2 linked regions of the Styela clava genome follow. The protein of the gene in region 2 purifies or fractionates together with the protein of the main gene of each other region. This does not show direct contact. Links are inferred from orthologs where the notes say so. Each region holds a gene or a part of one and is shown on either strand. Other genes may lie near its edges.

Evidence for each region.
Region 1: the proteins of serine/threonine-protein kinase mTOR-like (region 2) and regulatory-associated protein of mTOR-like purify together in Drosophila melanogaster (affinity purification with western blotting; 3 studies listed by BioGRID, with this or other methods). This does not show direct contact. The link is inferred for Styela clava from reciprocal best matches to the Drosophila melanogaster genes mTor and raptor.

What each region holds. Positions count from the first base shown.
Region 1 is NC_135263.1:8,822,886-8,838,980, reverse strand, and holds the start of regulatory-associated protein of mTOR-like, read right to left. Parts: upstream 8,476-16,095; 5' UTR 8,327-8,475; coding exon 8,141-8,326; intron 7,215-8,140; coding exon 7,112-7,214; intron 7,037-7,111; coding exon 6,954-7,036; intron 6,366-6,953; coding exon 6,207-6,365; intron 6,131-6,206; coding exon 5,984-6,130; intron 4,918-5,983; coding exon 4,697-4,917; intron 4,408-4,696; coding exon 4,307-4,407; intron 3,921-4,306; coding exon 3,694-3,920; intron 3,350-3,693; coding exon 3,248-3,349; intron 2,698-3,247; coding exon 2,503-2,697; intron 2,128-2,502; coding exon 1,878-2,127; intron 1,797-1,877; coding exon 1,699-1,796; intron 1,242-1,698; coding exon 992-1,241; intron 276-991; coding exon 96-275; intron 1-95. Other genes in the region: centrin-3-like, read left to right, coding at 10,097-10,600.
Region 2 is NC_135254.1:21,271,773-21,288,330, forward strand, and holds the start of serine/threonine-protein kinase mTOR-like, read left to right. Parts: upstream 1-8,696; 5' UTR 8,697-8,822; intron 8,823-8,974; 5' UTR 8,975-9,009; coding exon 9,010-9,106; intron 9,107-9,762; coding exon 9,763-9,882; intron 9,883-10,190; coding exon 10,191-10,280; intron 10,281-10,928; coding exon 10,929-11,071; intron 11,072-11,556; exon of another isoform or gene 11,557-11,982; coding exon of another isoform or gene 11,983-12,461; intron 12,462-13,060; coding exon of another isoform or gene 13,061-13,217; intron 13,218-13,997; coding exon of another isoform or gene 13,998-14,118; intron 14,119-14,220; coding exon of another isoform or gene 14,221-14,313; intron 14,314-14,703; coding exon of another isoform or gene 14,704-14,809; intron 14,810-15,724; coding exon of another isoform or gene 15,725-15,903; intron 15,904-16,558. Other genes in the region: eukaryotic translation initiation factor 2-alpha kinase 1-like, read left to right, coding at 5,512-7,629; uncharacterized protein LOC120344269, read right to left, coding at 11,983-12,461, 13,061-13,217, 13,998-14,118, 14,221-14,313, 14,704-14,809, 15,725-15,903. UniProt on the Drosophila melanogaster protein: Promotes cell and tissue growth, maintains tissue homeostatis and controls responses to environmental stress and aging. Regulates growth during animal development by coupling growth factor signaling to nutrient availability. Central regulators of autophagy.

The sequences.
Region 1 (16,095 bases), on a different chromosome or scaffold from region 2:
GCCCTTAAATCTAGATTCTTTGAAAAACAAGTTTTGCTCAACAGAATATCTTACGCAATAACATCTAAACATTAAAATCAATCTTGAACACTCACTCATTTGAGGTTTAAGCAGAGCAACATTTGCAGGTAATGTCCCTAAACTATCATATCTTGTTCTGCTCGATGTAAGATTCAGTGAAGCTTGAGAAATCGAGCTGTTCAGTTTTCTTCCAGATTTTCCATGTAATGGTCCGAATGGCATTTGTACTGAAGCCGATCTTTTATGATGGTCAGCTGGAAAATTGCAATGAATATGTCAAATGTATATATATATATTTTTTTTTTTTTTTTCAAATAATGTTCTTATGTCTTCACTCTGAACATTCTGCATTGTATATTCGATTTATTACACTTTGGGTGAGTAGACATGGGGTTTGCACTCCAAAATAACTCAAACAAGAGTTAATTTTTTTTAGTGGTCCGATTTTGATGGGGCTGTGATGCCAAATTCTTAGCCATTTATAATAAATGATTTCTGCTCTTTCAATTCGGAGAAAATCAAATATTTGTAGTATGCAATCTCCTAATTCGCCTGTTGATAATGCCAAGAAAACAAGTGCTTTTTTCGTTTCTGTTAAATACCACCATTAGAAGTCTAAAATTCAGACTACTGAGAATATGAAATTTCAAATCCAGCGCTAACTCTCAACATTATAAAAAAGTGACTATTTTCAGAAAGCGAATTATAAAATGAACGAGAGAACAATGCTCAAATATATGGACAGTCGGACATGAAGTAGTGCGGATATCTGAAGTAGTACGGATATCTAATCTTTCACAGTACATACAGATACCATTACAGTACTTTTCCGACTACGACTGACCACTATATTGCAACGGTCGTGGAACTGCCACAAGGTGTGCGCGCACTTTTCAATTTTGAAGGTGTCATCATTCACAAAATTGGTACAGTAATTGAAAAAGAAAGTAATTTGGGTACAACAACATACCCAATGCATCTAGATTCCTTTCTTCTTCCAGAAATCTACAAGCTACGGCACAGAAACTACTATCATAACAAGAAACGAATCTTTGTAACGCAGCAGCAAGTTCTCTACGAACAAGAGGACTTCCATCAACTTGTCGCACAGGGATGAGGGCATTACCAACACTATGATCAATATGCGTGGCATGATCACTACCAGCTTCTGGTTGATTGTCTACGAAAGTACCAAGTGCAAATACTGCAGCAGCTCGGACCTGAACATTAGAACAGAAATTGTGATATATGTATTAGTAGTATCTTAGTATTACTGTGAGCTAGATCATTGGTTCCCAACCTTTTTTTCAAGCGATCCAAATTTTGTGAATTTATCATGTGACCTGAGGATATGCTCAAATACCAAACAGCGTTTAGTGTTTTCATGGCCGCAAAATTCAAAAATTTGATTATAAAATATAAAGAATCATATTTACATAACATTTATTTCAATATTATTATTGCCATTAGTGATTTTTTGAAATTGTGGTGTGGCTTTACTCGAGCAAGGAAAAAGCTCCCAAGTTTCTACGCTGCGATACCATCCAATCACTATCGAGCAACACTTCAATACCAAATCCAAAATAAGCAATAAAATTTACTAGGAAATAAAATTAACCCGTTGGGGTCGACCTGTTATTTAACACAACTTGATTATATAAGTAAAGTAGCATTTACCTCTGGATAAGGATCATCTAACAATTCATATAATTTCTCATGCGCACTTTCTCTAACTCCTCTCCATCTCGCAGCATCATAGTTGGTCCATACATGACCTATTGTAAAATTAAATGAAATATAAGTCAATCTGCACAATATTTTTTGATTTATAATTGGCTTATTTAGTAATAACATACCTAAGCATATTGCCACCCATTGTCTTAATTGCCATGTAGTAGGACCAGCGTAAGTGTCATCAAATTGGTCGAGACACGTTGCAACAATGTTTGCTTGAAGACAGGCTTCCTGTCCTGCAGGATAGTCTCTCATTATTTCAGTAAGCACAAACGTGGCCATCGTCCGATGTTCTGATGACATATGAGGATCTTGTAAAACTCTCAAGAAATAATGATGACCGCCATCTTTGACTAGATCAGCTTGACAGGCCTTGAAAAAAAAATTAGGACTTTTTATTGACAGAGAAATGCACCCTAAAAGAATCAACAGTGGTGAACAAGAACAATAGCTTGTTTATAAATGTTTCAGGGTAATTCTCCAACAATAAACTTCTAAGCAAGATTTAAAAGATTACGAAAGATTTACGTTATTACGAAAATAATACAACAGAGAAAACAACTTTCGAACCTTATATAACAAAGCAAAAACTGGTAGTTGAACATAACAAATTGGCTAGGTGGTATTGGATTGTCTTGAGTCTTGTTAAACGTAGATTTGTGAAACTTCACAGATATAAAAACTGAATCGCAACATTTATACATTTTCATTCTGGCGATAGATCATGAATACTATGAAGTTACTCACACAATCAACAGCTAAAATTTTTGCCCAGATAAAAACGAGCAGAGGTCGTAGTTCTTTCGCCAAACTTTGCAGAAGCTTCAATACATATGGAAAAATTCCAACTGATAATGCCAAGCTGACAGCCCATGGTCCAAGATCAAGGAAACTACCAAGAAGTTCAAGTGCTCGCAATCTGTGAACTTGACTAAGAAGAACCTAGGAATAAATAATGCAGTTATTTCAAATAAGAAAAATAGCAATACGTCTTTAAGTATAGTAGTTGAAGTCAATGGAAAAAATATTGGTGTAACTGTGCCAGTTTGTTTTATATTGTATTCTTATCTGCCATGTCTATGTCAAATATATAAGAAACAATTAAATTCAGTAGCTAATAGCTATTACCATGCCCTAACTGGCCTTCTTGGCATTAATCGTCCTAAGGCATATCCTACATTTCACAAGTCAAGAAATTAATAAACAAAGTGCAATGAAGTATTGTAAAAATAAATAATGGTAAAAAAATAAAATAAAAAAATAAAATACATAATGGTATTTCATTTACATCTCCAACCTTAATTCAATTAAGAATGATAATAAATTTATTCAATATTACCCTTCATCGTTTTATTTTCCACGAGCAATAGAAAATTTCATTTTTGACCTACAGGGAGAACTGAAGTATCGCACAATAAATAATAAAAGTTAGTGTTTCCTTATACAAATAACAATAATATCCTTTATTCAAACAAAAGGGGTTAAAACAAACCTGAAGAACAATAGGCAGTTGTTCCGGAGGTTCGCGCTCTTCAACTCCCAACCTCAGCCATACTTGAAATGCTGTCAGATGCTGGGCGAAAAATGGACTATGCTGAAAATACAAAACTTTCATTTATTTATTTGTGGTTATAAAAATATCAGACTTACAGTAGGTCTCATTTCTAAAGCCTGGGTGAAACTTACCATATTATTACTGTATGAATGACTTCTTGGTAACAAACTTACTCATAGTAAACTACATCTAAGATAAAGTAGTTAGACTACCAAAATAATTCCACATATTTAAAAGAGTGGAATCAACAGAATACAAAATCATAATATTAATTAAAACAGAAAGCGTATAAATAACTTTTTGTACCATCTTTTTCCAGTCTCAAGAACACTATATATTCATATGAAAATGCATAAATTTCATGATTTCAATGTATAGCAAACCTGAAACTGGTAGTTACTGGCTTCCTCAAGCATAGCGGGCAATTGAGAGAGGCAAATATCCACAGCATGGTCCCATGCTGCCCACATAGGATGTCGAAATGTAGGGGGCAGAGGTGGATGGGAAACTGGAGTGCAGTGATATGAACGCATGATCCTCTCAGCGAGTAGGAAATTGCGAAACAAACTAGCAACGAGTAGGTCTTGACGAAATAATTTTTGGAACAAATCTGGAAAAATGAGTTTGATTCAATTTTATTCTACTATGAATATGGATAGGTCATATAAAACAGAATTTTTACGATAAGTCTCAAGACTTTATATGATGAAATAGAGTCTTGCTACATACAATCATAAGTGTGCAAATGTTTGTCTGACAATGTCTGGCTTCGAACGGCCAAAAACATTACAGAAATACATTATTTTCAGTGTGCAGCAATACTTTTGTATACTTAAGAACTGTGGTTCTCAAACTTTTTAGGTCGTCCTTTTTAGAATTTGTCAAGTCTCGCGCTTCACCTCAAAAATAACTAGCTAAGATAAGCATAAGATCATATCATGGAGGCAAATAGAAAAACTAGGCCTGCTACATATCACCAGGGTTGTCTGTATTTACCTCTTGGCAAAGTGTTCCATGCAATAGTATCAGTAATGGCTGTAAATATCCAATTCAATTCACCAAGTGGAGTTCTTCTGTCATTCAGTCTTCCTGGAATCCTTGAAAACAAATGAAAGTTTTTTTTTTTTTTTTACTTGTAACGAAGACCTATTATAGATATTGCACACAAAAGATTTGGACACTATTTTTTTTTTAATAAAGGAGCGTGAAATCAACTTGTTCGAGAAAGTGTACAATACTTCGGCAAGATATTTTAGAGATTTTCCACTTGTTCCACTCTGTCCCTATTTTACTCGATAGAGAATGTATATTAAAAAATTCTGACTTTCGAATCTCTTTTTCACATTCGTCCAATAATAAAAAGCTGTAATTCTAATAAATACATACTTCTCAATCAATGACAGAGTTACTGAGGGCACCAGGGAGCCATGTTTCTGAAGGCAAAACCACTGAAGTGCAATTTTGATTGGAGTAGTCAAGCAGGAAGTAAAAAGGTCAGCAGGAAGTTCTGGATTCATTGGCAAGAGTTGAGATTCTGAACAAGCAGCAAGCTGGATGCAGTTTTTAGCATCAGACATGCTTGGCCCGATTGGATGAATACCATTGATCTGTTGAAAGAAATTTTTATTGTTATCAGTGCTGGAATAATCGAGTTAGGAACTAGGCAGAACTGAGTCGTCCGAATCAGGGAGTTAGACTTTGGGACTTGAGTATGCTGTTGCTAAAATTACAGATTCTTCAAAATTGCGACTTCTAATTCAATAGCAAGAATTTCAGATGGAAACTAAAAAAGTTAGGTATATTATGCATTCTTAAGAGACCATTAACTCTTTTGTTCCGTATGACATATATATTCGTACTACCATCCTTGGTCATAATAATTATTTTCGGACTATTTTACGTTTATGTTCATGTTTTGTGAAGTATTCCGCACTAACTAAATCATTTTGAGCATCCAACTATGATCCGTGCTTGATCTGTCAACATTTTGTTTTTTTGTAAATTTTTTATTTTACTACTAAGTGAATTTTTTTTGTGTAGGTATTTCAAAGCTTAGAGATACACGAAAGTATTTGTCATTACTTCAAAAATAAGTCATTTGAACAAGCGGGAAACAATTTCGCGCACATAATAAACAAACAAAGATTCCAGACAACTATCGTGGACATGCTCTCACATAACATTGATTATTTCGCGTTTCGCTTCGCTTGCGAAGCTGAGTCTGGTTTTTCTGCAAAGGTGACGTAACTCTCTTTCAGAAGAGCGCTTGGAATTTCGTTTCTTTGTAACACGTGTTCATCGAAGCGATAAGAGTGTGAAACGTTCTCTCAAAATTTTTTGAAATTTCTCTCTTCTTACACGCGTAGGGTCGAACGGTTTCGCCTACGTCATTTGGGCGCGTTTTAGTAGGAAGACGCGAAAATAAGCTTTTTAAAGAGATATTGGGGGTGTTCCTTGTACGTTTGGTTAACTGGTCATTACATATTATAAAATGGTACATAAAGTCGATTGTATACAGCGGAAAAAAAGGGTTAAAGAAAATAGCGTTGAGGAAGGAACGATTAGGTAGTCAAGATGCCCCCCAATCTAAAGTCAGGAGATGGGATTCAAATTTGTTGAATAAAAGTCGAGAGTCGTTTTTCAATGATTGGCAATACTATATAGAATTCATACCTGCATGTCTTTCTCCCTTTGTTTTGCAAACATTTTGAAAGAGTTGACAATAACACCAGAATTTGAACAATCATAGACAAATATTGATGGCGTTCCCATCCATGTTTGAAGATCATAAATTGATAGCGGAATATATTGAGTATATGTCTAAAAATAATATACAATTATTAATTAATTCTTTTTGCTATGATAATGCTAAACATGTATTAGGAAAAAGAAGTACCTTGTTGAATACCCAAATTTCACCATTAACAGTTGGCTTCGGAACGCCATGGCCATTATAATGAAATAAAACTCTTTCTTCTTTAGAATTTCTTCGCAATGAAGTACATAATCTTTTGACATCTTCAACTGTCGGATCTAGAGTTTGTTTGTAACGAGCCTACAAAATAATAAATACATAACTGTTTTGTAATATACTAAGTGAATGAATATATATTGTCTTACCATAGGTGACTTATAATTTTTATGTTACAATCTGGTCAGCGAAATATATATCAATACATTAAAACTCTATACAAAATGATAAGACAGGGGGGTGTATTAAAACAGTAATTCTTAAACTTTCACAATCCATGGCCCCCTGCATCTCTATAAAAATACCAAATTTTGAAGTTACATTTTGATCAGTTATTTTATGTTCCATGTTTAATATTAAAAAATTCAACAAAAGAAAGTAAATGCATTATAGTAAAATCACAGTCAATCTATTTAGGCCCTGCTTGTGGCCCGAGAGAACCACTCGTTGGGGGGCCGAGAGCCCTATTTGAGAAACCCTGTAGTAAAATGAATGCAGATACAGAGACTAAAATACTAACAGAATGTCAACTATCCTATTAATAGAGTTCCTGGGTCTGTCTGAATGGCAAGTAAATCTCATCCAACACTGATCATTGATCTCAGTCTGAGATTTGGTCAACCTATTTATTAATATTTTAAGTTTTCAAAGTATAATATTCAAACATCATACTCTTGATTGCCATCTTTCATACTGCTTTTGCAAATTATTTCCGATTGCTTCCAATGCTTTTTGAGGTGTGTAGTTAGATGGATCTATAATAAAAGAAACAAATTATATATAATTCAAGTCCTTTATTACAATAAACAAAGTATTTTAATTAAACAAACCTATCCAACATTCTTGTCTGGCACAAGGTGTTGTTTTCACAACATCTGGAGGATCGACACCAACATTTAAACATAGAACAAGTGCAACGCTGACAGTCTTCATCTAAAAATATAAAATGTGCTACTATTGAATATAGTACTGAGATAAAATCACCAATCAATCCCTTGCTAAAAAAATGCATGCCCATATTATACAATGATTGCAATAGAGCAGTGTTTCCCAACCTTTGATGGCTCGTGGCCCCCTTCCGAAAGCTTTCAGCACTCATGGCCCCCTGTTTATCATTCCAGTGGTATTTATAGTGTTACTTTGATGGGTAGATTCCAAATCCCATTATGTTCAAACAATTCATGTTCAACAAAATGAATCTACCATGTGAAATAACATTTCCAAGCAATGAAACTAGGAACAACAGGAAGTTTTCTTGTCAAGGGAAAAGTAAAATCAGTTTTGCGCCCTGCTCTGTGGCCAATTTACAGGGCCATGGGCCCCCGGCCGAGAACCGCTGTATTAGAGTGTTTATACTTGTAATGAAAAATGTGTACTGTTTTATTTGAAATTTTTATTTATATGTTTATAATGTGAATAATAATAACTCAGTTATTGTTAAAGGAATTAGTTGAAAGAACATTAATACATAGCAAATTAATATTTATATTTAAAGTAATAGTTGCATTTAATAGAATTTCTATAAAACCAATTCTCAACTATTCAAATAATAATATTATTCCAGTAACATCACAATTGAGTGAATATCTTCCATACTAAGTAAATATTCCGCTGAAGGGTTTTATATAAGAAAACACAAATTTTGATACAATGCTTAATTTAATTTGAATATACATTTCAACATTCGATCTACATGAATAGATATGCATACATGTTTCACAAAAATGCAACATTGGATGAAATAATACAATTATCATTAAATAATAATGAACAAAATTGACAGTTATAATATACAACAGAAACACCTACAAAACATCATATAATAAAACGCACCTCTATCAACAAAATTAAACAATTACCCTTTCTTTCATTCTCCATGTTTGTGTGACTGGCTTTGAACTTGTGATGCTTTCCAAGTGTCTTTTTTGTTGAAATGCCAGAGGTAAATTCCATCCTGCTTCCATCATATTATGAAGAATCTCAGCATCCTCATCTACAGTCTCCCCCTCTTTTTCTTCATCCTTTTCAATCCCTCGACCCAACATAGTCTTCAACCAAGCTGATCAATTTACTATAAAACTCTAGTAAAGGAATGGAAGAATGTAGACATTCGGTATAACAATTTTGGCTTCAGCCCTACAAAAGCTGCAAAGCCACAGCTGCACAGATACAAAAAAGGAGAGGTCTGCAAAATAATCAATCTTAACTTCTAAATCTGTATTTTGAATTCTGTAATATCAGTTTCATTGCAAGTTTTGGTCGATAGCATATGTGTAATTATTGAATGGATAGGATTTTCATATGAATCGCTGGGATCTGAATAGAAATCCAAGACTGCAATGATATTAATCACATATCATCATAATCGTACGTAATTTTGTAAAAGAACGACATCCATATTGAGACAAATTAGATTTGACAATACTTGTGATTTTATAGCTTTACTAATGACTTTATACGCCGAGAATATGAGAATGTCACAACACATCTGACATCTTTATGTTTATTTATTATACAGACGCTGTTAAACAGTGAGACAAATTAACATACACACATACAATGAACGCCGCACCATGGTTAACTGAATATAGTTAGCATGGTTAACTGAATATCATGACAAAGCTTTCACGAATATTTTTGCTCAATGCTGCCACCTTGTGAATTTGAACACCGCCACTAACCGTCAGTTTTGACTTGATTGTGTTTTTGTTTTGTCGGTTCCGTTTGAACTTTTATAATACTTTGCAATTCTAGCGCTGAGTTTGGAATAGAAAAGGTATGTAGACTATATGTAATTATTATTGATTCTCACAACAATATTGATATTGCATTTGTTGAATACAGCATTGGACGACAACTTCTGCTGTTCTGGGATTAGACTTTCCTGGCCATACATGCTTGCATAGCTTTTGTCCTTGTATAGAGTACCGGTACCGTAATCCTATTAGATTTTTTAGAAAACATAATACATGTACGGTAGTACAAATATAAAAGAAGGAAAACATGAAACTACTGTAATTCTATGGCTAGTGATAGTTTATTTTTTCTGCATGAATATTTCCCGTACCTTAAAGCGATTTCCCGTCATTCCCGCTTTTTGTGAAATTTCCCGCTTTTTAGTGAAATTTCCCGTAGTTCCCGCATTTTAGTTTTTGCAATTTCCCGTCGTTCCCGCAGTTCCCGCATTTTAGTGCATTTCCCGTTTCCCGCATTTTAGGGTTGCCCCAGGATTAGTTCATGTAAAAATATTCACAACAATAGGCTGACAAACTATATGAAAACTTTCAATCACAAGTTAATGTGAGATATATTACCAATATAAACAAAGTCACGAATAAGAAATCTCGCAGGAAATGATTTGTGTGTATTATGTCTGTATGTGGAAAAGAACATGAACTTCTGAGTCATCTATTTATGAACTGCAGAACTGTTTATATTTTGATTCATTGAAAATACTGTTAAAAAATTTAAAAAAATATTTAATGCTAGACTTTTGTGCCATTTTAATGCCAATATTGTGTTTTATTAGACTTTTGAGTTTTTTACTACTAGAAGACATTTGATTAGCCTATTATTGTGTTTTAAGTTACCATTAGTAGATATAAAATATGGTTACAAAAAAATGTATTATATGTCAAGGCAGTACTCGTATTTACCATATATAGTAATTAAACAAATAAAAACAGCAATCACTTATCTCTGTTTTATCCAATGCTGCCTGTTCTGAATTTATGTTCCTGACAAAAAAAATCTAATCATTTTTTTTTCTTCATAATTGCCTTTTATAGAATTAATATTAAAAAAATAATTTCAAGATGAGTTTGTCTCTACGTGGAGATTTTGGACTGGAAAAATCCAAACGAAAAAAGCGGAGGGAGATTTCAGAGGAACAGAAACAAGAAATTAAAGAGGCTTTCGAATTATTTGACACAGACAAGGATAAATTTATAGATTATCACGAACTCAAGGTCGCAATGAGAGCATTAGGGTTTGAAGTAAAAAAAGCTGACGTCTTGAAAATTTTGCGAGAAAATGACAGAGAAGAAACTGGAAAAATCAGTTTTGATGATTACAATGATGTCATGACAGACTTAATTCTTGAAAGAGATCCCCAGGAAGAGTTGACAAAAGCTTTTAAACTCTTTGACGATGATGACAGTGGTAAAATATCATTAAGAAATCTACGTAGAGTTGCTAGAGAACTTGGTGAAAATATGACAGATGATGAATTGAGAGCCATGATTGATGAATTTGATACTGATGGTGACGGCGAAATTAACCTGGAAGATTTTATTGCGATTATGACTGGTGATACGTGAAACAATTCAAGCTTTAAAACTATCAAAATATTGAGTACAAACATATCTTCCTTTGGAGAAAAAATTTATTTGGAAAAGTTCTAGAATAGCATCTGATTAAAAATGTATATATGTAGTTGTTTTGGGGATTTTGGTTGGAATTATCTGACTATATAGCACGGGGGAATATCTTCTTAATTTTGAACAGAGACTTTGGACCATAAAAAATATTGATAATTCTCTAAATATTAGTTGAGATATTTGCTCCGAAGTATATGTTAAAACTCCATCATCATTTGCACTATGCTTTGCATACAATCCACCCTTTTCATCAGTATACTTTTTATATCATTATTATAAATTCACTTTGCAATAGTATCTATTTTTGAGCGGAACAAAATTCATTGGCAAGGAAATATTCAATCCTAATTCATTCAGTACATTTTATAATCCAGGTAGAAGGCTGTAAGTAGCATATTTTTTTTAAATATTTTTGCGACAGCAATTTACACAATGTTTCTTCACACAACTTTATTATGTATAGTTTTCTATGTTGTTTTATTAACTGATACAAATCATCTTCACAGGAGAAGACCGGATATATAAAATAAGTAGGTACTTCTCGGGCATTGTCTCATTCAAAACCAATATATTTCAGCATTTGTGACAATCCTCATTAATACATTTATATAATCTATTACTCTATTGCTGCTTATTTTTTGTTGCCCCAGCTAATTTTACAAAGCTTGTTGTTTTGTTGTCAATTTTTCATTTTTTTGTGTAATTTAGGGAGATGAAAAGATGGTTGATTCAGTCATTTTTGATATATTTGTTTGCATATTAGTACTTGAATATACGTCTGTGAATAAAATTATTTTTGAAATTGGTGCATCACTCTTAAGGCTAAGCTGTAAATAAGCACCAATCGAAGCTGTCACAAATGTTGTTCGCCCTGGTCGACTTATCGAAAGCAGTCATCGGGCGACGGGTGTCCCCAACCAATCTAGACACTTATCAAATTAATTCTTTTAAATTAATTAATCAAATATCGAATCAAATATATGAGTCCAAACTGAATATGTACCGTTATCACTATTTTCGTCGATACCAACAAAACGCCGATATTTCAGATTGCCGATAATATTAGGCTTACCATACGTCCCGGTTTTGACGAGCTGTCCCGGCCGGTTGACTCAAATGTCCCGGTTTGTCAGCACGGCTGTCATGGGTGAAAAATTCATATTCCTTATTGTTACAATTTTTTTTAACGGTGGCAGCCCATTTACCACTGTTTTGCGACACACTTCGCTAGTTCAGAGAGTAAAAAATGCTCTATTGTTATGTCACAATCGGTATATGTTTTAATGCGTTTTCTGGCGTTAACTACAATGCCGTTAAGTTGTCGAAATGCCATAAAAGAAGTACAAATTTTCTAATGAGTTGAAAGGAGATTTTGCGCAAACGGAAGGAGGGAAGGTACACTGTACGCATTGCAGATCTGTTTTTCTATTAGTCAAGACGGTCGTTCTGATGTCAACGATCATATCCAAAGCAGGAAGCCCAAAACATTAATTGAGGCATCGACTCGACTGACCAATTTTTTGCGATAACAAATTCGGATGATTCTTTGTCGTTGGCAGCCGACATTTGCCTATCACACAAAGTTTTGACTGCACCTCTGAATTGATTTCAATTTTTTTTAGCCTAAATTTGCATTAACTTGTAAATATACACAGTTAGAATTTCTGATGTCCGCTGTCTGATAAGCGGATTTGCTGATTTTGCACGTTTAACCAGAAATAAATGATAGTCGATGATTTTTAATTGAATTGTTCCGCTGTTCTCCTCTGAACCTAATGATGATTTACTTTAAACCAGTTTCGTATCAGTAACCTTCGATGCATCAAACAGAAAGAATTTAAAGCTTGTTCCAGTTGTGGTTCGTTATTTTTTTACCTGATGTTGGTGTGAAGATAAAACTATTAGAATTCAAATCTTTACCCAGGGAAACCGCCAAAACTTTTACTGAATACTTGCTCTCTTTTCTCGGAAAAGTTGTTGGATTCTGTGTGGATAATTGCAACATCAACTTTGGAGGCGTAAAAAGACGAAAAACAAATAATGCTTTTTTTTCAAATTAAAAGAAATATAACCGGTATAGATTGTGCGTACCATGTAGTTCAACAGTGCACTGCGATGCCATTTTCAACATGTCGTAGATACTTTGCCTGTTTGTGTTGTTGTCAAAATGTATATATAAATATTATTACATTTACACTGTCCGAGTAACAGAGGAGAAATCATTCTGCAATTTTGTTGATAGTGAGAATCAACGGCTATTACAGCATGGCAACACTCGGGTTTTCCCTTTATTACCTGCTTTGCAAAGAATTACGGAACTGTTTGAAAGCTTGATAAGTTATTCAAATTCTCAAAAAGGATGTCCTACTCTTATGCTTGAATGTTCCAGCGTACGAACTTCACTTGAAAATTATCCTTTGCCAGCTCACCTACTTCAACAAAATTATTTTAATTTTGAAAAAAGATAATACTAATGCCGTAGATCAGGGGTCGGCAACTTACGGTTCCAGGGCCGGATCCGGCCCGCAGAATATTATAATCCGGCTCGTGACGCTTCACTAAATTAAAGTAACAAAACAGCCGTTTTGACGATTATATTTTTTAAACTAAATTATATTATAACCTAACAAGTATATAATACACCACTACTCGTTTAATGAGCCTATAATTTAATTATAATTAGGCAAATGGCAACAAAACGCAGAAAAATGATGCGAAGTTCAAAGGGTTCAACGGCGCTGAAAATATTCAAATGCAATTTTTTGCGATGCAAGGAGGAAATAAATCTATATTCTATTCGAAAGATGTATTACTGCTTGATTTTTATTATAAAAAGTATCATCCGTTCGGTTTCAGCTTTCTAAAAATATGTACGGCCCGCCAATGACTCGCAACCCTTAATTTTGTCCCACGAGCGACAAAAGGTTGCCGACCCCTACCGTAGATGTCAGAGGTGAAGCTAAATTTGAAGGAAAAAGGGTGGGGTCTTTTAATTCCGTCGCATTCACTTGTACTTCTGGAATCCTTGGAACGCTCTGGCGAAATCGACGTAACTGTATTTAAAAAGAATGTTTGCGGTATATATGGCTGCATGATGAAGCCTACAATGCTCCCCAGGCCCCACATATGAACAAATTCGAAGGGTGATTTAAACTGGACTAAAGTGTTTGGTATGCAAAATTAATAAATGATATGTTCGGTTAGCTAGTCTGGTTTTGAATAGAGATGCCCTTTTCGACGAATACTGATATAGAGATATTTATCTGAGCATGGTTCAAATGCAATTTGTCTTACTTTGCGGTTGAATTTAAGTGGACAGAGATGTTTAACGTTTTTTCTAACAGAAATATTAGCATTTCGAATTTGCAGAAACTCGTTGATTTTGTTTGCCGGAACATCGGCATCTGTTGAACAGATTTCTGGTCTGGAAGCAGGTTCAGAATGCCAGAAGAAAATATAAAAGCACTCGTAACCTGCAAATTTAATGGTGATGTCTCTTGTTATCAGTTTTATGACAAAATCAAAACAAGAATTTTTGAGAAGGGTTCCATCTGCGAACAAATACTTTTGGTCTAAATAAATAATACAAACTATTTTTTTGTGTTTTTTCTAATTCAATAATCAGTATAGAGATTTACAGCCGCAATGGCATGGGAGACGTTTCAATATTACAAAGACTGGCAATCAACCGAATGTTTGCCAAATCGCACCGTCCCGGTTTTTTGTTTCAGATTTATGGTAAGCCTAGATAATATGTAATTATCATCGACGTATATACAATCTTCCTGAGTGTGAACTTGGAAAGATATTAGATATATATTTCAGAGCATGAAAAATCGATATTTCTGATTCAGATGCATAAATAAATATGGAATCACCACTGATGGTTTATTAAAATGCCCATACGTTCTGCAGACGTTTGTTGTCCACGGGCGCTGGGAATATCGTGTTTCGGTTGATAAAAAGATCATAGCTGGTTGTCCACTATAACTGGTATAACGAATAAATGTTTACCCCTACTATGAAACCAATACATATAGTGGCGTACGCTGGATTTTGTATCAATACGATTCTGTTTTGTATTTCAGGCAACGAGAAAATTCTCTGTGACATTTGATCGTTATTTTCCTTCATAATTATTAATTACCTATTGCTATTGTTCAAAATGTAAATAACACAATTTTGGTATCGAAAATAGACAAATCAATTGATATAGTTTGGATGATAAATAGCTTGAAACATGGAAACTTTTGTACAAAGCTCCCGTCACTAATGCAAAAATGTGAGATTTGAGGAAAACACCCACGCCACTTTTAAAATAAAAAAACCTAGGTATTATCCCGGTAAGGGTAGGAACGATGCAAAAATTTCAATTGCAATATGTATTCCTAACTCTGACTGGATAAATATTAATTTTGTTATTTTAAGCGTTGTCGGGGAGTATTTTTGGACCTCCTGAAGTATGCGCACCAAGATGGCGTACATCCTGAACTCAGGATGTTCAGTTCAGGTTATGCGACATCTTGGTGTGCATACTTCAGGAGTACCGTATTTTTGGTAGGGATTTGTACAAAACATCCAACAATCAAGTGCATTTCTACTTAATAATTTCAGTGTAAAAATTTAGTATATGGTACAACGCGGAAAATCCACTGTGGCGTTTTTATAAATATATTTCATTTTCAATTACATTACATTTACGTATACACGTTTTTGAATACATTAGGCCGCCATAATCAGCGTTGTGTATATTTCCTTTAAATCTGCTTAAACTATAAATTTTATTTATAAGAGAATATAATCGAAGGAATTTATAAACATTGAAAAGTAATAAAATCTCGTGGTACCTGATATCGTGACGTCATTATACCCGTTTCTAGTCGCGAGGGTGGAACGCGAACATGCTTCACCGCAAAAAAATGATTTCAGTTATCAGCATTCGTATACTAATATATTCCTTAAAACATGTTGGATCAGACCAGAGGGCAGAATATATCGAAAATCTCGGTCTACCCGATACCGATAGCAAAAAAATGACCGATGCCGATATATATATACCGTGTTTCCCCGGAAATAAGACAATGATTGTCTTATTTCAATTTTCTTTCGAAAAAATAACACTAGGGCTTATTTTCGGAGGATGTTTTTTATTTTCATTCATCAAAAACAAAACTACAAAGTAGAGAATTACGAATTTTCAAATATGAGGAATACGAAAACCGATATCCATTTACTTATCTTAAATGATACGTTTTCCTGTTTCACACGTTTGAGATTAATCATTTGAAACGTGTGGAGGAGATTTCTTGCTATCGACTAGGTAAAAAAAAAATTCGCGCTATTGACCACTAGGTCTTATATTAAAATCATCCGTGAAATTCAGGCTGGGTCTTAACTTCAGGGTAGGTCTTGTTTTCGGAGAAACATGGTGTATA
Region 2 (16,558 bases):
AGATTGATGATCCCTGGCACGCTCGGAAAGATGTTTAAGATCTCTAAAACCAAATTTACACCAACGTAAGTCACGGGCGGTAGCAAAAAGTAGGCAATAAAAACAAAAAAGTGCATTTTTGTCCTCGCTGTAACCAATGACATTAAACATTGTTTAATGTCATTGCTGTAACACAACCATTCGTGTTTTTTATACCAAGTTTCTGCGCAGAATGTACGCCGACGCTTTTCTCCGTCATGGGATTGTTCCAGTGAACAATTTTTTGGTTGATAAGGCCCAAGACGTTGTACCTCTAATTTTTGTTCCAGCGGCAGCTGCGAAAACGGAGTGCGAAGTAGTGCATCAACCTTATTCATTATGAGGTCTAAGGCTAAGAAATGCGAAGCCGGAAAGAAGTGAGGAGCTCAAAAGGAGTGTGGAAAATCGAAAGCAAATGGACTAAAGGTCTCTAACTGATTCAAATAGCGAAACAAGCGACAAAAACGAAGGCGAGGAAACTATCAACTCTCCAAGCAACCAACGAACGAGAAGGAATGCGTGAATATGTCAAAACGTTGTTGTAAGAAACGTCGGCATTGTGTCGTCATAATTTCGGGGCTAGCCCCGATGATTTAGTAAAAGAAACAGAAAACAAACAAGACAAACGCGGCGAGTGGAAGATAAAAGAGAGAATACGATATACAATGAGCAACCGGGGCAAAATCGGCGTCGCCCCGTCGACGTTCAGCGAAGGCTTTGCGAGCGAAAAATGAACCATGTCGGGAGAATATGGCTAGTGTAGGTAGACAGTCTGTGCAACCGATATTGAGGTATTTTTCGAATATTTTTTATTATACCGAAAAAACAACCGAGGCATTGCCCCGGTTGGCCCTATTGACGCGCCGCCACTGGTCTGTAGTATAAATTCTAATTAATACGCTCTAAGCTAGAATCCGAGATGTAAAAACTCGAAAATACTTCGCCGAGGTCATTTTGTCTTTGTGACGTCACAATAGTCCTGCGTTACCAATGATAATTCATTATGACGAAACAATTGCACAAATGTGAATGTCATACTGAATCTCCATCTTTACGGGTTTCGGAATTCTTAAAATATAATCTGAGTTAACAGACAGGTGCGCAGCATTACATAAATACCTATTTTATAAAAATCTCAAAATCGCCAAAAATGACTTACACAATTCGGTTATTAGCGTGACGAAATGTATATTGTTCTGTCGATGTCCAGTTCTCAATCCGAATTTGCCCAAATTAATAGAACTAACAAACTAATGTTCTGCAACGGAATTTGATGAAGCAAACTGTCTAACTCTTAAGTTATCACGTCTAATGGAGGAGATGCGATTTAATGTCTTTGGTAATGGGCGATCGTATCTTGATGGCTTTATTGGACTGATACAATTCGGGTTTTCTATTCGTTGTTCTCAATTTAATTCCGGTAATTCAGGAACATGTCGGTAGGGTGGTGATATATTGAATACGAGCAGATTGTTCAGGTTCCTTTATTGCTTGGTCGGTATTGCTAGGTTGAGAGCAACACTTACTTTCGCAAAAGCGTGGGCCGTGAATTACGAGCCACACTAAAATTGAAAGAATAGTCGCTAAAATGTTCACCACGGCTAGGATAATCAGTGTATTAACGAAAATAGTACACTGCTCTTCTTCCACAAAGCTAGTCTCTTCGAGAAATAGCACGAATGATAAGAAAAATAATAAAAGTAATACCCAAGAAAACAATCGTCCCACCAAGTCCGAGAACCCAAAAAGTCGTTGAGAAAATCATATCCTGCTTGCAATCGGGATTTTTCATCAAAGTTAAGTTGACAAAAATATTGTCATATTGTGTCAGTAGAATTGATGGGTAAGTAGAGTCCTTCAAAGTTTTTATGAAGCATTCGCCGTCATGTATTGAACAGAATCCAAAATATGCGCTCCGGAAGTATTCGTACCAAGATGACGCACAGTCTGAACCACCCTAACCTGGTACACATACTATGTTCAGGTTGTGCGCCATCTTGGTACGAATACTTCAGGAGCACCCCAAAATATAAGTCAATTGTCGTCACCCACGTTCTAACAAATTTGTAACGAAGCGGGGTTTTCACGGCGATCGACAGCACTATAAAGGACCGCTAAAATACGATTGAACTGCCTTTGGAATACTGGCAATAATAATTAGCTAGTATGTTGCACCGGTATACAGCATAAGTATTCAAAAATATTAACACCGCTCCAGCGTTCACTTCTGTATCGCAAGTGTTCTGATACAAGTAAACTCAGATCAAATCATACCGCACATGTGCAGTGTGAGTGAAGCAATATATACGAAGTGAATACACCAGCAATTGAAAATACGTTATTTTTACATAATAACGTAACAAACCTACAACGTAAAAGCGGCTGTAAAAAAATCAACTTTTGGATGTGTTTTTGTGATAATAAATCAACTTTGGCGATTGCAATTAAGCAATACATCTGAGGATCGAGTTTACAGAAAGGTCGGCGTCTGATCTATACGGAATAAAGATTGTTCTTGTTTAAAAAAACAAAATTTTGGTTAAACATCGGTCCCATAGTGCTCAGAGAAAGTTTGAAAAATAAAATAAAAGTAATATTTACAGAAGTTATTGAGAATTTCATAACAAGAGAAAAAAAATTAAAATGATGATCAACAACAACAAAAATAACAAAACAATCCATAGGCCCATTTCGTGTTCGATAACAGCGTAAATATATAATACTACGGAATCTATCCCACGCGAAAACATTTCATATGGTCCGTGAGTTGCGGAGAAAATAACACCAGCTTCGTTCTATGACTATGTACCAGTGTTTGTCTGCGCTTCAGTTACTTAGGCAGGTTTCAACTGAAGTTTCGCATATATCAACTATGCAAAAATATTATTTTGTTTATACTTTAATTATTGATTAATTGTGTAAATGGGGTCGCGACCCTTGCTGAAGATTCAAGACCAAGGGCCACTTAATATTAAATAAATAAATACGGTATTATAAATCTTCAAAACCTCTGCGATCGGTTAAAAATATACGGTATTGAAGCGAAGGTGATCCAATACATTGCTGCAGTGAGTGCAAGTCTAATGCCGTGATGAAGTTGCTCTCGATACCAGTATTGAATACGGTGATTTGAGTTTAGAATATTTTTTAATTCTTTTTTGAAAACACAAACTGTTTTAATTCTTTTTTGAAAACATAACCTACAGACACAGACAGACAAGACCTAGTTTTAATATAAATACTGAAATAACTCAATACCGGTATTGTATACCTGTAGTAAAAGCGCCTAACTTCGGACAAAATTACTATATTTTCGTCAATAACTCGGCCATTTATTGTCCAAACGGTGCCAAAATTGCTCGGTAAAACATTCGTGCGGTAATTTACATTCCCTGCAAATTTCGGTTCAATTGGACTATTTTTACTATTGAAATAATCGATATTTCTTGCCATCTGACCGTTATCCTTCACTGCCCTAACTTCGGACAGTCATTTTCTTCACTGCGTAACCGCGACGCACAGAGAGAAAGAGGCTTCCGATGCGGATGCCGTAATCACGTCGTTGCGTGAAGATAAGACGCTCGTCGTCGTAACGTAACATTGGCGTCACGACGAAAATGCATTATTTGAAACTTCCGTCGTCCTATGTTTACATCTTTTGTTCGTTATTTTCGATACTTCAGATGAGTATAATAACACGTTAGTCATTTTAATCAGGAAATGCATACGTAAATATATCTGATGCAAACCGTTTCAATCCACAATGAAGTATTTTAACGGGCTTCTATCGAAGTCTTTGAAGTATTAATATTCTCGACGGATAGCTTTTTTTTATTCTGCGCGGTTATCTTTATAAATGATAATTTATATCAAACACACGGTAAATCCGATTGTAAAGTTTAATTTAAAATTCAACTTAATCTTGTAAACATGTAGGTCCCGTTTATTTGTTGGAGATTAAATTTATTTTTAATTTCGAGTGAATAAAATTCACCCAGGCCGTATTTAATAACTGTCATTTCGACTACTAATCATAAAATAATGGTTAAGTCAGTGCACTGTGCCATATGGACGTTGGAATTATCATAGTTCATTATATATTCGATATTTAACGTCATCGATTAAGTGTGACATGTATTTTCATTAATGTAATTTTGGCATATATTCATACATGACCGAACAAAATACAAAAATATTAGATTGAAACGCCGTCTTTATCTTAACGGAAATTGTCATATTGGCTCCGTTGTGTCTGGCGTCAAAATTCATTTCCGCGACGCAGTGTGACGTCGTGTCGGAAGTGAGCGAAAAATAATCTACGTGAGGTTGACGTAATTTTTGACGCTGCGTGAAATCTTAATATTCTTACGGAATTTATAATTCAGAATTTTAGATTTAATTTAAATCTCGTACGACATCTTGCGATCACTCAAATAAATTATATACATTGTTGTCGCCGTCTACCGAATGATGGTATTTTGATGACGATAGCTTCAGTTGGAGCGACGCTCTGCGCCGTTGAATGCCGGGCAGTCAATTTTCGGCAAAATTCCCGTTTTTTTACCAAAAAAATAATTATGCAACATTAAAAAAGATGAGAATAGATGTAGATATAACAGCGCAACCTATAATAATTAAAATTAGCAATATACGGCGCGTTTTAGCCAAGATATGGCCGTTCAAAAATTTTGTCCGAAGTTAGGAACTGTCCGAAGTTAGGCGCTTTTACGGTACCGTATCTCTCCACCCGCGGCTGCAGACCCGACTCCTGGACTCTTGTTTTAGATTCACCTTATCCAGTTATCCTCTTTATGTCGGCTACAAATTCAAAAGTTTTTATAGTGTTTCAAAAACTGTATTCTGGTAGAATAGTAGTCTAATGTATTCTGGGAATTGCAATATTATAGCTGTTGGAAAAAGTACAAAAGAATGTAAAACAAGTATATCAAAAATGCATATACAATACAATTTTATTTCGATTTTTTGTCTACACAACACATAACGCACACAAAAAAAACAATACACAGAAATGGCGAAAGAGACCGGGAAAATGGCCAATATGTTGATATGTTTGCAAATAAAATGCAGGGATTGTCAATAATGCAGTATCACAATGTCAAAAAGAGTATAAATTAGGGCCGTACGCTAGTACGGTACAGCAGTGAGATAGACTATAGCTAGGCATTGTTACCAAATCTGCATTTCAAGAACTGGAATAACTTTTAAAAAGCTCAATCATCTCTGACAGTACCGGTATGACTCATTTCAATATTTTAAACCTTTGTAAGCTTTGTTGAATTTAATTCAGTACGGTAATTGTTAATTGTATTTTCCCTACGAACAGAAGAATGAATATTTAAGTTGTTCATTTAGTCTTGTTGGGATCTTTTACATAATGCAGTAATGGAGATGTTCAGGAATTGCATATTTGTGGATTTCTCTATTGTCTATTCTGGCTGATAAGCTATCGTGTTACTGCTATACTGTGGAAAGATGGAGAAGTCAATACCAAACACACTTGCAATATTTCGATGCGATGCTGCACCAGTTACTGAATTTGACAATTCTGACTTGTTAGAACATAACAGTGAAACAGTATCTGGATCATCTCTGAGCTCTTCCTCATCAAAAGTAAAAAGTCAGTATGTTCCAATTATAAGGCAATCATTGTTGATTAGCTCACTTCTTGAACAATTATGCTCACTGTATGAAACTGATAAAGTGAAATCACAAAAACTTTATTTTATTCTGTGTGATCAACTCGCAAATTTGGGGATTATATCTCCCGTTGCATATTTGGAAGAATTTACGTCGGTGCATACTCAATATAAAAAAACACTGTACAACATTATACAATCATCTATCATGAAGCTAGATTCAAAGCCAGCATTTCCAGCCAACTGTGATATTACAAAACTGCTTGATCCTGGAGGACTGATGGATTGCAAACCCATCATTCCTGACCAAACAAAAGTTTTCGACTTTGATACTTCAAGGTATGGTCAAGAATTTGACGAATTGGGTAAACTGGGTTCTGGTGGTTACGGCAGTGTTTACCGTGCGCGAAGCAAGATTGATGGACAAGAGTATGCTATCAAAAAAATAGTTTTGCGCGATTCACTAGTTGGCGAGAGTGATAAAATACTGCTTAGAGAAGTGCGTATACTGGCTGGCTTGCGTCACAAAAACATTGTTCGTTATCATGGTGCTTGGATTGAGCATATTGATGTTGGAGAAGAGGTGAGAGTTCGGGGACGAAGAGATTTATTTGAGGATGTGAATAACTTACAGTGCTCAAATAATGGTTCATCTCATGATGATTCTTACTCATTTGGTGATAATGATTCAAAACCTTTTCAAAGCTTTTCCAAAAATGGTTTGAAAAAGAATAAGAAAAATAGATCTAAAATCCAATTGTCCAAGTTTTGGGGTGGCAGCAGTGCATCTGAAACAAGTGCGAGTGTTCAAAACAAAAAGATTCATTTCTCTATTTCTCCTCCTCAGTCTGATGAGGATCTTGTGTTCCAAGACTCCAAGCCTCGTCGTATTGATACGAGTTACAATGACAGATCATCAGCGGCGAATCCCGAGTCACCTCCCAAGGAAACTATCTTGACTCATGGCGTTCGAAGAGATATGAATATGCACAGAGTGAAAAGTTTTATTATTACCAAAGACTTGCCTTCTGCAGCTAATCGTGGAGATTTCACTAAACCTGTACGTACTCAGTCTTTGAGCACTTTTCAGGATCGTTTATCTACAAATTCATTAGATTTGGATTGTGTGGCAATAGGGAAAAAATCTAAAAGTTTCGTTCATTCTAATTTAAGGAAGGGAAAGCTGGTGCTTAACATTCAAATGGAACTTTGTCAGACATCTTTGAAACGCTGGCTTTCATTGAGGAATAAGAATATTTTTCATAGGAATGAAAGCTTTCATGAAGGCACATCTTTACATTGCATGAGACAAATAGTATCTGCGCTCAACTTTATTCATTCCAAAGATTTGATTCATCGAGATGTTAAACCCCACAATATATTTCTAAATTTAACTGGATATGGCAAACCTCATTTATTACTTGGAGACTTCGGTCTCGCCAAAAACAATTTTGCAAGTCCAGTTGATTCCACTGTTTTAAATCATAGTAGTCAAAATACTTTTTATATGGGTTTGCGTCGTACTGACAGTCACACTTCGGGCGTTGGTACAACATCGTATGCTGCACCAGAGCAACTTTTTGCAGATGTGTATGATGCAAAAGTTGATATGTACAGTTTCGCTATTGTTGCTTATGAATTGTGGACACCGTTTGAAACTGCAATGGAAAGAGCAAGCCATCTCAAACAATTGCGTAATCAAATTGTTCCAAGTGAATTTATTCTTAAATATCCACAGCTGGGTAAATTGTTGACTTCCTTACTGAATCATGATCCTAAAATGAGACCAAGCTCTCAAGAAATTTTTGAAGGAGACTTTTTTGAAAAATCGAAGGATAAAATCATTGACCAACAGGCTGAACGAATACACATACTTGAAACTGAAATAAGAGATTTGAAAGTTATGAACAAAAAACTTCAGAGACAGTTGAATAACAGACGTTCACCTCCATAGTGATTACTATTATATAATGATTTGTGAATATTACTGTATAATAGTAATAAAAACTATATTCTTGCCTTTCCTCCATTTAAAGAGAAATCTATAAAATATTATGTTCCTTCAGTATTCATGGTAGAATAGTAAGTAAAGTTATATAATCAGTTTTAGACTTCTTGCTTCTTAATTGTATAGGTACTTAGATATATGTTTTACTATGGAGGTGTTTTCATCCTCACCAGTCACCAGGTATATTTTTTGTGATACCTATTTTATCGAGGTGCTTCTTTCTGCTTGAGGAAAAGGTCCTATGTTACTGATGAATGTAACTTGGAAATCAAAATTATCATTAGTCTGTTTAAACGTTAATTGAAACGATTAATAAGGATAAAAGTTCAGTCCAGTCCAGTGATACATATAATGTTTTGGAATAGTTCATTACCTGTATGTCAGATCATCACTTATGTTAATATATTTTTGCATTGAAGAGATTCAACCCGATTATCGTCCACTGCCTTCTTTAATGCCCATGTTTAGATAATTTAATCAAATCAGTAGTTTTTGAAGTATAATTTTAAAATGCCTTACATGATCGTAATGTTTTCTGATGCATGTGCATTTGCAGAGATAGTAGCTGATTATTTTTTGAATATCTAAATATTATGTTTTTTTAATATCACTGTGATATGAGTGGTTCTGACAATTTATCAATATCCAAGACTTATTCGTTTACTTTGTTTTTATATTAGTTTGTGGGTTTTGTTTAAGTCAATTTGCCTTGTTTGAGAATGTGATCAAATTGGTGGGTTCAAGGAAATTGTTTTCATGGATATGGTGCAAACTTGAAGGTACCGTAATAGCTTTCCAGTTATAGCATGATGTAGTAATTGTTGTATCGCCCACATTTTTATAATATGTGAATGAAGGAATTCAAAGTGTGATATATTTCTCTTTGTTCATCTATTGAACACTACTCAATAACAGCATGGTTCCCAAGTTTTTTGTTTCATAATATATTGTAAAGAAGAACTCAGTACCTCGAATTACTATAAAATTGCAAAAATTTTGTTATATTTTTAATTTTTATGCAAGATGTATGTATGTTATCAGTCTAAACCAGATTGTTGTCATGCCGGGGATTTCTGATATCAAAGTTGGTTCTTGGATCAAGTGAAGAATATAGGACCTTGTAGATTGTAACTACCAACGTAAGAATTTTTTTTTTTTGGTGCTTCGATTTGGTTTGAATTTGCTTTCTTCTAGATTTACAAACGGGAAAGTTAATTTAAACTCTTCAATCAGGTAAATAGGAGAATCGTATAAGATTTTATGAATTCATATTTTTTTATCTCTTTTTCAGTTGGGAGAATTCGGTAGAAAGCCAACACAGAAATAATGTCTGCCGTGCAACAGTTTGTTCAAGGTCTAAAAAGCAGAAATGAGGAAACAAGACTCAACACTGCTCTATCACTTCAGCATTACATCAACACTGGTAGGTGGTTGGTGTTAGGATATCTAATATTATCTCATTTTATTGCCTCACTTCACAAAGATAAAATATATTCACTACTTGGTATTATGTGGTTGTTCAAACGTGTATCTTGGAATTTCAAACAATACTATCTAAATTACTCAGAAAAGCATTCAATATGCTATTGAATTAGAAGTATTATAATTTTTAGACGTTTGAATATACGACATATATTTGGAGTAACTTTTGATTTTGTTCTGTTTATTATTGCGTTTCCTTGCCTCTGAAACTTCTTATATTGGTTGTATATATTAATTTCTTCTTTATCTATTCAATTTGGCCCATTTTACAGCTGCGAAAACTTGTTTATTGTTTCATAAGTTTTAAGAAATTCACTAGACTCTTAGTCATTGGAAGCACAACCTGAATCCTGATCTTATTCAACATAATTTTGAATACCAAACTTTATGCTTAGTATATCACTTTTAGATTTATTTGACAACTCCGTGGTTTCCTACATTGGAGATCTGTAATTATTCTGATTCTTAAAGCTTGTGATTTGAAAATACGACTATTATTCTGAAACCTGTAAAAAACACAAATTTTAAGTCTTCAGCTATATCTACATGTTACTGTATATTTTTCTTGATGGAAAACCGACTCTTTCATTCTTGTAGAAGTACGAGAGTTGGCGAATGAACAGGCTGCAAAGTTTATGAATGAATTGAATCATCAAATATTTGAAATGATGTCAAGTTCTGATAACAATGAAAAGAAAGGAGGAATACTAGCTATAGGTAACTTTACGTGGATATATCATAGAAGTAGTAGATTTTAACTGTTTTAATTTTTTTAACTTTTCAATCAAAACTGAAATACTATAAGAAACAATAATGGCACAACAACAGTCCTTAATATTAAATTGATTGTTACTTGTACAGTAGTAGACTATTTCACCAAATATTTTCTCTCGTAATTTTTTTGCTTTCCAAGATATTTTTTGCTGATTTGAATTTGATTTTCTCTAAATGTTCATAAGCGATGTATTTTGTTACTTGATAACTGTCTTAAACATACTATTTTTTTATTTCTGTGTTGCTCTCAGTGAGTCAAATTGGAGTGGAAGACGGAACCCATTTTCCACTTTACAGAGCTGCAAATTATTTAAGAAATTTATTTCCATCCAGTGATGTCGGTAAGCGAATCTCTTACTATAATGAGATAAATATTACTAAAATTCAATTGTTTTTTAAAAAATTTCTTAAGATAACTTTCATGATGAACACTATATGATAGTATGCAAAATAATAACAAAAAAGCTATTTTGCCATATTGTTTGCCATATGAGTTTCCACTGCAAAGGTCTTTTATCAAGCAAATTCTTGGTTTGTGAAATGTAATATATCTGGAATTGGTATATAACCAATCTTATTGCTTATCTTTGTGTATATTCAATTTATTTATCATACAAAATTATAGTCTAAAATTTACAGTCTCAGAGTGATCATTTTATTAATAAAATAACTTGAAAATATACATTTTTGTACTCATACTCTACAAAATATTTTTTATATCATATATTTCATATTGAATACCGACATTTATTTTGCTTAATAATTATGGCGGACCGCACAGTTAACCCAGTGATTACTATTAACTACCGGTAACTTTTTTTAGGTTCATACCACTTCTGCCTATTTTTTTTAAAAAAGTTTTCATCTAATATAAATTTTAATGCAGCCTGATATTAATATTGCATTTGTAAATCAAGAAAAAAAAAACGAAAACCAAAAAATTCAAGTGAAAATATAAATGTGTTAATGAATAATTCTTTCATTATCAGTCGTTATGGAAATGGCTGCACAAGCACTTGGACGGTTGGCTGCAGCAGGTGGCAACCACAGAACTGAATATATTGAATTTCAAGTACGTCGAGCTATCGAATGGATTGGGGCACCAAGGAATGAAGGACGAAGACACAGCGCAGTAAGTGGAAGCTAATGTAATAAAAATATCACATTGCAGTTGTTGTAAGCCTTATTCAAGAGCCTAGTAGACCCAGTATGATGAAATGCATAAGTCTACTTTGCTTAGTAGTTATTGAATGATGTACCTTCATACTTACACTTCTTGAATTTGAATTTTCAAATGAAAATAGCAATATGCCAATCAATTTTGAACACAACAAAAGTCAGATCAACTTCATATCTTCCATATCTGTCCATCAATTTGATTAGGTATACCTTGTCCTCAACTTATTAAACTGGAAACACGATTCAAACTCTTGCATTAATATTCACCATGGTTTCAGTTTCAGAAGCAACAGCGTCATGACATTGCTAAAAACCCAAAACCATGCGTGGAAAACTCAAATCGTTGTATCTAAAATGCACTTTGTTTAGGACCCAATTTAGAGTTTTCATAACTGTTGCATCTTGTATGGAAGTAAACCCTATGACTTTAATATATTTTGGGCGTTCTGGAACAGACTCATTCCGCTTGTTTCCGAAAACATGGATTTATTTCTTATTAATAAAGGAAAATCATAGTTCATAGAAATCCTGCAATGTCAGCTATGCTTCATCGAAATTTCTGCGATTGCTTTCATTAAAACTTATGTCAGTCTTGTTATCAAATATGTTCAATCTGATATCTCCAAATAATATCTTCTTCATACAACAATGTTTTGAATTAGTTATATAATTAATTAAGATATTGCATTGGAAATTGTTTGAAACCTTTGTGTGACAATTTTATTTCTATAATGTTGAAACATAAAACAATGAAAGCTCACAAATTATGAATATTTCATTATTCAGAGTGACCATCAGACCATACCATATGTATTAACAACATTACTGATCATTAAATACAGTTTGAAGAAATTCTTATTTTGGTCATGTCTTGGATTTATGATATTCATCCATAAGTCCTTTTATACTCGCGTCAAGTTCAGAATATTCTGATTTTATTCTGTTCACTTGAACATTAGCTGCCCATGATGATCCAATAGATCGAATAAATATTGCTGCATTTGTACAAATTTGCATTTCAACTAACGATAACACATCTTGAGTGTCATCTTCCAGCAGAGAACACATGCTTTCTGGTGCATTACGCTCTCCGTGATAATAGTTTTTTTTCCACACCTTTATTATATCTTCACCCGAATATACCGGGATTTCCTCTTTGTATTCATATATTTTTAAGTTTGATCTATATTCATTTGCTTGTCCTTGTTTTGAAAGGGGTGACGATATATATATCCCACTTAGTTTGAGGGATTTCTTGGTCTTTGCAATTTTTTCCAACATTTTATTGATGATATTTCGTAGCGTATTCATATCAACATCATCTCCTGAGGTTCCGTCATTACCTGAAATTGAATAAACCTTTAGCTGGGATAGATGACATTGTCGTGGTATTTTTATTGTTTCAGGCATTGACATTAAAACTTATTATTAGATATAAACAACTGGTATATTATATTAATAAAACATTTTAAATATATATGCATTAGACCTAGTGATATCTTGTTATAAAAAAAATTATTTGGTCATCAAGGTAGAAGCCGTAGAACATCATCAAAATTGAATATGCTTATCTCCCAAATATTTATATCAGAATAGTGGAGCACGATGTAAAAATTTTGTTTTGGAATATTCAAAATGTTAAAGCCAAATCTGTGAAAATGCAGTATTTGAACTCAAAGCCATATTCATTATTAGGCGCTCCAGAAATATGTGTACCAATAGGTAGGTAACTCTTTTTGTTTGCCTATTTTACATCAAGTGTAAAGGGACTGAAAGCTATGGGCTATAAGGGTATATTCACTTGGCTAACACAGACAGTCCTTGAACTCGTAATAGAACTAAAACAAGGAAAATAGGAATAAAATTATGCCCTAACCCTAACCTGGTACACATACTATGGGAGTACCCATTATTGTGATATCTCCATTTTCATTCATCTTACCTGTTGAATGCTTGTGGTAGTTCAGGCACATATAATTGTATATCCCTCCACCTATTTCTTGTGCATTCATTAAATCTTCCGTTATCTCAGTTGCAAGGGAATGCACAAATGCAGGGGGTTGAGTATAGTACCAGATTGCTGAATATACAACTTCATCCTAAATAATCACAAAAAATTTAAAAGTACCGTACTTTTAAGCCCAATTTTGTCACAATCTATTCGTTAGTTTGATTCATACAAAAGTTTCATAGAATCAAGGTCGTTTGGAACATATTCTAGACCAGGGGTTCCCAAGCTTTTTCCAGGACGACCCCAAAGACAACTTTCAAGTGTCCAGTGCGACCCCTGGTCAATATATATATTTTTTATGAAACTTTAGAGCTTCTTTCACTGGACTTTTGAGTTTGGTCATGTGGTGGTATTAAGTAAAATAAGCTAAAACCAAACAGTGATGTCACAATAAATACCTACATTTTCTATAGCATAAGCATAGAGCGATGCCAATGGGCCTGTTTTACAGTAAGCCATGGTACAAACTGCAAAATTTAACATGGTTTGTCAAATCTTAGATGTTTTTTACATCCATCCTCTATCATACCTCAGCGACCCCTGTGACCTGTTTGCGACCCTACCTACTTATCACTTCGACCCAATTTGGGGTCGCGACCCATGGTTTGGGAACCCCTGTTCTAGACTCTAGAGAGAACATGACTTTTGTGCAAAATGTTTTAGATTACTGAAACTTAGTTACAATCATACACGAACAGAGGTCCAAGTGAATTTACTTCATTTTCATAAAAGCCATTAAGAAATTTATGAGTTTAGTTTTTTGAGTCACCCTGTATATTATATGAAGTCAACCTTGGATCTTTTTATAACGACCAATAGTTATATTGGTTATAATTTATATGGCGGCTACAAAATAATAAAGTTTTACCTTCATTTTGAAAATATTCATTTTATGATTTGGTAACTTCAATGTTTTCCGAAGAAATAACTGAACATCAAATAATGATAGAGGAAATGGATGAACTGCACACTTGTATCTGTCAGTCTCTCTGAAAAAGAAATATTTTTTTTATTAACTATTGGACTGCTAATCTCTTGAGTACTTGAATAATATACCAAAATATAGAATAAAGTTAACATTATAAGCATACTTTGGATATGTATCTGCCAAATCTCTAGGTATGATGCTGATTCTATCTCCTTTCTTTAAACCTTTCGGATAAGTTGGAATGCTGAATTTTACTCTGAAAAAAAGAAAAAATTTCAAATGGTTTCAAGTAAAAACTTGTTTGTGTCTGCTATGTAATATCAACAATCTTCTATAATATTTGTTATTACCTTGCCTGGTCAATATCATACGATGAAACCAACCTGAGTACATATAGGTATTTTTGTGACGATATATTATCCTTGTTTCACAATTGGTTTGAACAGAGGCACGGTATTTTAAAATATCTATTAAGTTGTGAATAAGCAATCAACGATTCGACCAATATTAATTGTATGTATAAGATAGCATTATTAGCATTAGTACTGTAACCAGTTTTTTAAGATTTGCCTCATTTTTTTGAGCTTCTCAGTTCTCAAGTTACACTTGGACAATCAAAATTCATAACATATTCAATAATACATACTTGAAATCTGTCTCTACAGACGTGTTGAGTGTATTGAGCATTGTCATTTGAACTTCTGATTGTGCTTTAAGCAGAGTTGCCACTCCAGGAGAGACGTCGGTGTGACCTTTTATATAAATGATATATTTTAGAAGTACTTTTGATTGACACCTTGATTGCTTTGGCAGTGCATGACATGAAGTTTGACTTTGATTGTAATCTGATTCCTCATTATTTTCAATAATGCACTATCAGGAATGTCAAAACTGATTTACTATTGTTTCTTGTACCTTTTATAATTCATTATTTGGTAATCCTATACTAAAGATAGGCGTTCCAACCCAAACTAAACCAAACTCACATCTTGGACATCAGAGCTAAATTATTTTATAGGATTCAATAAAACAAACCATATAATGCATGAAATAGTTTTTTGATTCCATTTTAGACTGGTCCATACCGAAAAAAATTTGAAACAGATCTCATTGACAATTGACAAATTGATTTAGAATTTTCAGTAATTTCTCGTTATTACAATGTTTGTCGTGTATTTTTTTGTGGCCCAATAACCAAAACATGCTAGTCATACTATACTATGCACAAAAAACCTAATCTTAACCATTTAATAATGAGTCTTTTTGAATCTTCTTATTTTTTACCTTTATTCAACTCCGAAAGACTTATAGTCACAAGTAAGAGCAATCAATAAACAAATCTCTTGAGTTAGTCATTGGACATGAACTCACTAAACCCAGTCAGTGGAAAATTGAATAGTGGCCCAGTTTTTAAGATTTAATAATAAAAGCACTTGGTCCAGTAGTTCAAAAGCAGAATTTTTTGTCACATACCGGTAAATACCAAGATATACACCTCAACAACTATTTCTCGAAACACAATCCATACGTCATCTTTATATGCAACAAAATATGATGTTTAGGTTCTAAACTAGTTTTATGAGAGTTCCAGCAGACTAAATTGGATTGGTGAAAAATAGAACCTAATAATTACAGCCTTACTATATGATATAAAGTTGATGATGTACCTGTCAATAATGCCACGTCAAATTTTCCATCACATTTTCTCTGTAATTCATCCACAGATATAACAGAAACAAATCTTCTGAGTATTTCAATGTTTAATTTCAATGATGCTGGAAGGTTTGGGTTGTATTGTGATACTCCGCCATAATTGTGATTATGAAAATATGGAATAGCCAGAGTCCTAGGCAGAATTGAGACAAGTGATAAATTATATGAAAAATAAACTTTAGGATTTCTTTGTTTCTATGGAACATGTATATACATCAGAAATCTGAATAGTTCAATAATATAATTTTGCCTTACAAATAGTTTCTTTTTGAGTGTTTCAAAATGACTCTATTTTATTGCAAAATTATGATCTATACTAGTCATTCTCATCCAATACGCCCCTTTCCAAAGACAGTCAAAACTTGTGCCTCTTGAGCCGTATTTAATAGCCTAATAAACAAGCCAAGAAATGGAAGTAAAAGAATAAATTCATTACAGTCGAAGAATCGCAGTCAGTTTACTTCAAATTAATTTAGTAATCACAAATTATATCTTGTGAAGGTCTTCAATTGTGAGGGGACAAGACCCCAGTTTTAGAAACTCTGATCTATAGCCTACTGTATTTTATTTTATGAAATTTAAGAACTAATGAAAGAACATATTCAACTACAATTCAACTAGTATATCAGATGTGTATTTTCATTAATTCTCAATTAATATTAATCAAAGTTGGCCAACAGACTGTAAATTGAATAGTATTTAAGACAATGTGTGTGTCAACAAGTGTCGACCAATATTGTAAAATCTGCCAATAACTGTCGTATTCTAATATTTGACGTTGTCAGCTG